Caenorhabditis elegans: one gene and its partner. The protein of the gene in region 2 purifies or fractionates together with the protein of the main gene of each other region. This does not show direct contact. Each region holds a gene or a part of one and is shown on either strand. Other genes may lie near its edges.

Evidence for each region.
Region 1: the proteins of inpp-1 (region 2) and spt-16 fractionate together in Caenorhabditis elegans (co-fractionation; one large-scale study listed by BioGRID). This does not show direct contact.

The regions. Positions count from the first base shown.
Region 1 is NC_003279.8:10,787,005-10,790,758, reverse strand, and holds the start of spt-16 (FACT complex subunit spt-16), read right to left. Parts: upstream 1,630-3,754; 5' UTR 1,623-1,629; coding exon 1,551-1,622; intron 1,503-1,550; coding exon 1,410-1,502; intron 1,360-1,409; coding exon 904-1,359; intron 543-903; coding exon 1-542. UniProt on the Caenorhabditis elegans protein: Component of the FACT complex, a general chromatin factor that acts to reorganize nucleosomes. The FACT complex is involved in multiple processes that require DNA as a template such as mRNA elongation, DNA replication and DNA repair.
Region 2 is NC_003282.8:10,771,606-10,775,359, forward strand, and holds the start of inpp-1 (Inositol polyphosphate-related phosphatase domain-containing protein), read right to left. Parts: upstream 1,842-3,754; 5' UTR 1,776-1,841; coding exon 1,730-1,775; intron 1,143-1,729; exon of another isoform or gene 760-1,142; coding exon of another isoform or gene 756-759; intron 686-755; coding exon 542-685; intron 478-541; coding exon 423-477; intron 375-422; coding exon 156-374; intron 108-155; coding exon 1-107. Other genes in the region: T25B9.9 (6-phosphogluconate dehydrogenase, decarboxylating), read left to right, coding at 3,256-3,696.

The sequences.
Region 1 (3,754 bases), on a different chromosome or scaffold from region 2:
TTTGGAATACTATCGACACCAATATAAACGATGAAGACCATTCCTGCTTTGACAACCTCGTCACACTTCGCACTGATAGCAAGACGACTCTCACGGAATTCGATTCCAGTCGCAAATCCAAGCTCTTTCTTGTTCAGAGTTTCAGCAAGTTTTGGACTTTTCTCCGTCAATGTATCGATTCCAATTTTATAAACATCGCTCAGCTTGGCTCCTGGCTTCAGAGCAGCAATTACTGCCAGCTCGGCGGCAAGAATCGCTTCATAGGCAGTCTCAAGTTCAGAAGATGGGAAGATGAGCATAGTTCGCGTCAAATTTGTGCAATATTCTGATAAACGAGCTCCGAACGAAGTGATGATCGTTCCAAACTGGCTGTGAAGATGAGATTCCGAGCTTTCATGATTCCATTTGAACGAGTAATTTCCACCGGACATTACGATTGGATCATAGCATGTGTCGGCTTCATACTTGGCCAGTGCCTGTTGTACTTTTGAATCCTTCATGAAGGCGGCAAACTCATTGGAGAGAACAGAGTGACGGACTCGCTGCAAAAATAAAAAAGAATTATTTTCTCGGGATTAAAACAGTGGTTTTCCCAGGAGTACTAAAAAATGAGCCAGTTATTGGTGATAGATAAAAGGAAAAACAGTTTAGTCATCTAAAAATAGCTTTACATTTAATTGAAACAACTGGAAGAACGCTCAAAAACTGCATGAAAGTTTAATTTTCGGGTGATTTCCAACTTTCAGATTGATTTTGAGCAGTTCTTCCGCTTTTTCAATTGAATTAAAAGCTATTTTCAGATACATCAACTGCTTCATTATATTCTATCACCAAAAACTGGCTAATTATGTAGAAATGCTTGCAGCGGACTCCTGGTTCAACTATTTTCAGAACGATAAGCACCTTTTCTTGATCAATGATCTCTACGTAGCGAGCTCTTGCAGCTGTCCATGATGCGGTTGTAGCTTGTGCTGATTTTCGAATCAAATCCATCTCCTTATCGTCTTTCACTGCGAACAGATGAGTAAACGCGAGAGTGACGTCATTCTTATTGACACCGCCTTCCTCGAGCGCCTTATTCCACGAACTGACGAATTCCGAGCTGAATTTCTCTTTGACGAAATTTCCAACATCTCCGCCGGCACTTTTGATGTGATCGATGAGCTTTTCAAAGTTTCCAGCGTCTTTGTCGGTTTTATCGCGGAGCAGTGTGCTGACTGTTGGCACTTTTCCTGAGCTCTGATTGTCTCCAGTGACTGATCCGAAGAATTCGACTTTGCGATTACTTCCGAGAATGTAAATGTGATCTTTGAGAAGCAACAGGACTGTGTCAGCGATTTCGTGGCCAAACAGCCAGGTCTGAAATAAAAATTTGTCTTGAGTTTGAACAAATTCTGAAAAATCCTTACAAATAGTGCGCTGGTCTTTGTATATGGATTATCAGTCTCTCCGTATACAAAAGCAAGTGATTTGATCGAATCTAGACCATCGGCTCCCTTCTCCTGTAAAATATTTGATTAAAAATTCGTAAAGTCCTGAAAGTCACAAACCCAGTGCTCATAAAGCCTCTCCGCTCTCTGGAAAAAGAGATCCTTGTTGAGAACTGCCCGTTTTCCAGACATTTCTCCCCTGAAAGTTAGAAATTGTGTTAAAGTCACGAGGATTGAGAGATGGAAGCAAAAATCGATAACGTAAACAAAGTGACCAGCAACGGATTCGGATAGGCTAAAAGTTTGAAATTTGCGAAAAAATTAATTTTTTTTGACACAATTTTAAAATTTTGAAAAAAACGTTTTGACGAGACAAATATTTTTTCACTGAAGAACTGTAAACTCTGAAAAATTAGAGCTGAAAGTGAGGATTGCGCGCGAAAAAGAATGGAATGAAGTTGGGCGTGGTCAAGGAACGCAACAGCCGCACGCACTTTCGCAACCACTCCGCATGCAATATTCCCGCCATGTTATTTACGGAGGGGCCATGTGAGAGTACACAATTGTGATGAATTCTTGAAGAAACATCAATTCCAGCGAGAGTTCAGAAAGTGGAGTTTCTGTAGGGTAGAAGATGTGGAATAAGTGATGAGATTATGTTGAGCGGGATGTAGGATGTCAGAAGAATCGTTGAAAAGAACAGAGTTGTAGATACAACAAGTCTTCGGAAATGCCGCGTGAACGGTAGATCAATTATTTCTTGAATTGGATTAAAGTCGGGATCGTTGAGATTTCTCATAAACCATAGTACACCAGGACGAAGGATTTCTCGAAGAAGAATCACAAATGACGCTGAATAAAATACATAAATCATTCCAACCATCCAATGAAGGAATATTGACATGAATGGAGCTGTGGCAAATGTTGCAATTCTTTGTGATAATGTTATATTGAATAATGGAAGTGTACAAACATCCATCCAACATCCACACATTACAGGGAAAAATCCAATTTCCAAGAATACCAGCAAGAAGACTATAATGATAAGGAGAGATGGCATTTGGGAACTAGTTTCAGATTCGGAATGCTAAAATATATTGAAGTTAAAGTCGACTTTTAGCAATTATTACGCCGGCAATTGCGAAAAATCCTGAAAGAAAAGTTTAATATTTTTCCTTTTCAGATAATCAAAGTTACAAATCCGGTTGTAATCCTACGATAGTGCCTACAATATTTCAGGCCTTGAAACGCAGACAACAGTAAAATTATAAGAACTTTAGAAAATTTTGAGGAGTTTAGCTCTACATCTGTCAATTTGGTATAAATTATCTGTTTTCTGAAAAATAAAGTATTTAACTATTTTAACAGCGGTCCACAAGAGAAACGGACGAAATATTTGAAGAAATTTTAAAAATTTAAAAAAAAACCGCGATAGGGTTGGTTAAAGGGACATCGGCTTACTCGGATGGGTCTCGACACGATTGTGGTTTTGCGTTGTTGTCGACGAACATTTTTGAATTCTAATTTTTTCCCTATTTTTTTGCCATAAAAGCTGTAGAATTGCTATATTTTTAAAATGTTTTCCATCGAAAAATTGTGAGATTGAGTTTGAAAATTACCGAGTTCCATTTTATTTTCATTGGATCTGTTTTTGATAGTTTTTACTTTTTTACAAATATTTTACAGGAGAAGGGAGCCGATGGTCTAGATTCGATCAAATCACTTGCTTTTGTATACGGAGAGACTGATAATCCATATACAAAGACCAGCGAACTATTTGTAAGGATTTTTCAGACTTTGTTCAAACTCAAGACAAATTTTTATTTCAGACCTGGCTTTTTGGCCACGAAATCGCTGACACAGTCCTGTTGCTTCTCAATGATCACATTTACATTCTCGGAAGTAATCGCAAAGTCGAATTCTTCGGATCAGTCACTGGAGACAATCAGAGCTCAGGAAAAGTGCCAACAGTCAGCACACTGCTCCGCGATAAAACCGATAAAGACGCTGGAAACTTTGAAAAGCTCATTGATCACATCAAAAGTGCAGGCGGAGATGTTGGAAATTTCGTCAAAGAGAAATTCAGCTCGGAATTCGTCAGTTCGTGGAATAAGGCGCTCGAGGAAGGCGGTGTCAATAAGAATGACGTTACTCTCGCGTTTACTCATCTGTTCGCAGTTAAAGACGATAAGGAGATGGATTTGATTCGAAAATCAGCACAGGCTACAACCGCATCATGGACAGCTGCGAGAGCTCGCTACGTGGAGATCAGTGATAATGAAAAGGTGCTTATCGTTCTGAAAATAGTTGAACTGGGAGTTCTT
Region 2 (3,754 bases):
GTCGAATGAAGACTATTACCATTTGACTCCAGGCTCTATGTGAAAGGTACAGACGATGACCATTGAGAACTGGCTCAAGAATTCGTAATGCTTCTTCATGAAAAGTTCTGAAACTGATTTTAGTTAATCGAAAATTAATAGTTTTCGGAACTAACGGTGCTGTGGAAGGTATTTCTTGCAATGAGATGAAAAATATATCACTATCCATTTCTTGTCCTCGTTCTGCTATTTTCTGAGCGAGATGGCTCAATATTTTCACACCTTTTTCGTTAATGTTCCATGTCACGGTACATACTTTCAGTTTTCTATCACCCATAGCTTCAATAACGTCGTAACTGACAATTGGAACATTCCCAAATCCTTTTACAGCAGGGCTAAATATCATATGTTCAATGAATGATGAAAAAAAAGTAATCACTTACGCAGTATTTTGCGTTTCAATGCAGTATGTCCAATTGCCGTCACTGATCTCGTTGACTGAAATGAAGTGTAATGGGTGTCAGAACAATAGGATTAAGTCGGGGAAGGATTAGAGGCTTACATGAGGCGCTGTTACGCCACGTGGCAGGTTGAGAGGAAGAACGGAGCCATGGAGGGTGTCGAGTAGGAGTTTGATGTGATTGCTTCTCACTTGAAGAATCTCCTGATTTTGGATCACCTCCAGATGCAGAGGGAGTGTTGGCATCTAAAAGAAATTGATACGTCCAAATAAATGTAGAATACTAGATTTCAACTCAAATGTTTCTCAGTCTTACCCATTTACTGTATGAATTAAATAACTTGGCTTATTGCTTCGTTTCAACCAACTAAGCTTCGAAATGCATATTGAAAATAGAGAACATAAATCCAATAGCGACGGACTCTATCAGAGGCTTCAAGTATAGGAACGGGAGGGAAGAGCGCGCACTTTTGTATGTCAGAAAGCCCGCGTTTTTCGTGTGCAATTCGCTCGTTTTTGTCCGATGATAAAATGACGAACAAGTATAACGGACGACTCTGGTGTTGGTGGTGCTATATAATGTTATGTAGATTTCGGTGTGCAAAGGGAAATGGGCAAGTGCAGAGATGAATGGGGACAGGAGAAAAGTTTGGAGACGCAGGACGAACGAGTGAGACGGGCGTGAGAGAAGAAGTATTTGAATGGGTGCCCATGGAAAAGCATTCAGAAGGCGAAGCAACAGGAAAACTTGTGTTGCTAGGTTTCCGATTACATGCCAAGTGGAAATTTTAGAAAAGAGTCTGGGTCGCCACTGGAGAAAAGAGTCTGGGTCGCCATATGCTTCCTTATTTTTTAAGAAAACCAAGAGAAATGAAAAGAAACGACAAAATTAAACACATGAATCTAGATCTTCTCGAGCTATAATTATTCTCCCTCACTAGAAATAAAAATAAAATACAATTAGAAGAACTTGAAAACTCGTTGTAATATGATAATTCCAAGTATCTTTCTTTGTTTCTTCTGCTTTTTCGAGTTTTTTCAATGATAAAATTTGCTAAATTTTGCCTACTTTTCCAGCAACGGTAATTATGTTATCTTTTGGCGAATGTTATTTGAAAATAGTGTTATGAGAAAATATGAAATACATATGACTTCCAGACTTCAATCAAAAATAAGAATTCTTGTGTATATACGAAAGTATTTTTGAAACTTCTCGAAAATTTCACACTTGCTATTTTATTTTTGATAATATTAGGTTTAGCAGAACATGTAATCAGAACACAGACTTACCAGCACTACTAGAATATGATCCGGACCATGGAAATACTCGAAACATCACTTTTTATATGAAATCATTTGCAATACACCTGCTGCGAGATTTAAGACTAACAAAAAATATGAGTGCTTTGTCTTTCCTGTCTGAGGGCGTAGAATGAAATCAGGAAATTTGGTCGCGAAATAGTCTGTGAGAAGTAGAGAATCTGACAACGAGGAGGAGTTTTGAGATACCTATACATGCAAGTGTATGATTGAAAAAGAGAAGAGCTCTAATTGAATGCGCATTGAGATGTGACATATATTTTGAGGAGAGATGAATTTATGAATAAATTTCCAAAAGGAATATAAATTTGAAGAAATTACTTATATATTTATTTACATCACTCACCAAAAGTATAACTTCGGAGAAATAACCTTCGCATCATCTTGTATGAATTGAGAAGCTAATTAGTAGGTATTTGTAGGTATTCACTAGTGAGAGCTGACAAGAGATGAATCTCTTCTTGCTTAATAGCACTCTCCGTGCTTACAGCCTTTATCGACCAAAGCGTTAGATGTTTTATCGTCGTTGTCGTTGTGAATCCCGAGAGAAAGACATCTGGAGAAATGGGCGAAAAAATGAAGAAAAAAATCAGTGAGAGAAAGGGCACGGGAAATTGGAAACAAGGGACTGAAACCCTTGACATCCAAGAAAAAATGGATCGAAAGTCGTTTGGGTGGATGGCAGGGGAGAATGACAAGAGGAAGCATTTAACGGATTAAAGATGGAATTGAAATTGTCATGCATTTCGGGTGTAGACATTTATGTTTTAATCTTTGTCATGACTGCTTGCCGAACATTTAAGAAAGACCACAGTTCGATTTTAATCCTAATAAATGTCGTATCTTAGCTAATTTGGATTAAAAGCTTTAAATTTTGTTTAGTCTCCAAAGTTTAGTCACAAAGTTATGTACTTGGACTACCAGATGGTGTTGTGCCAAAAAAAGAAACAAAACTTCTCTTTTCTTCCAAAAAAAACTGCCAATTTTCTACAACCACCCCTCCATTTCCAATAAAAGAAAAAGAAGACATAGAGAGCCAATTCCCCATCCTATGTCGGCTTCTCGCTGATACGTATGTTGATTAGAAACACAAGGAAATTGAAAGAAATGCGGTAACGGATATGTTCATAATTGTTAGTCTGGTAAATATGTGTGAAACGAGATATCTGATACATAAAACTAATAGCGGTTTCTCAAGAGAGAATATAAAATGTAAAAGATAATAAATACAAAAATAGTCAGAAGAATATTTTATATGCATTTGGTAAGCGCTACAATCGTATAGTAAAAACAACACGGAAGTTGGTGTATTAGAACATCTTGAATAGTTTTTTTCTAATTAGAAAGCAATGCGATATAACAGTTTTAGACCCGTTCAAAAAATGTTCCGAACATGATATCAGTCTTAGCTGTGCTCTAGATAAGCACAGAATGCACGGATGATTTCATTTTCGATTCAAAATTAGTACACAATTAAGTATGTTATATAATTTCAGGAGCTCGTTTTGGACCATCTCTTATGCCAGGAGGTAATCCAAAAGCCTGGCCACATCTGAAAGACATCTTCCAAAAGATCGCTGCCAAGTCAAACGGAGAACCATGCTGTGATTGGGTAGGAAACGCTGGATCCGGTCACTTCGTGAAAATGGTTCATAATGGAATTGAATATGGAGACATGCAACTGATAGCTGAAGCATATCATCTTCTGAGCAAGGCCGTCGAGCTGAATCACGATCAAATGGCTGAAGTTCTTGATGATTGGAATAAAGGAGAATTGGAATCTTTCCTTATTGAAATCACCGCTAATATTTTGAAATACCGTGACGAGCAAGGAGAGCCAATTGTTCCAAAGATTCGTGATTCTGCTGGACAAAAGGGAACTGGAAAATGGACTTGTTTCGCTGCTCTTGAGTATGGACTTCCTGTTACTCTTATCGGTATGTTGAAAATACAATGAATATCAATATTCTTTCAAAGTTTCAAAACATTCTAGAT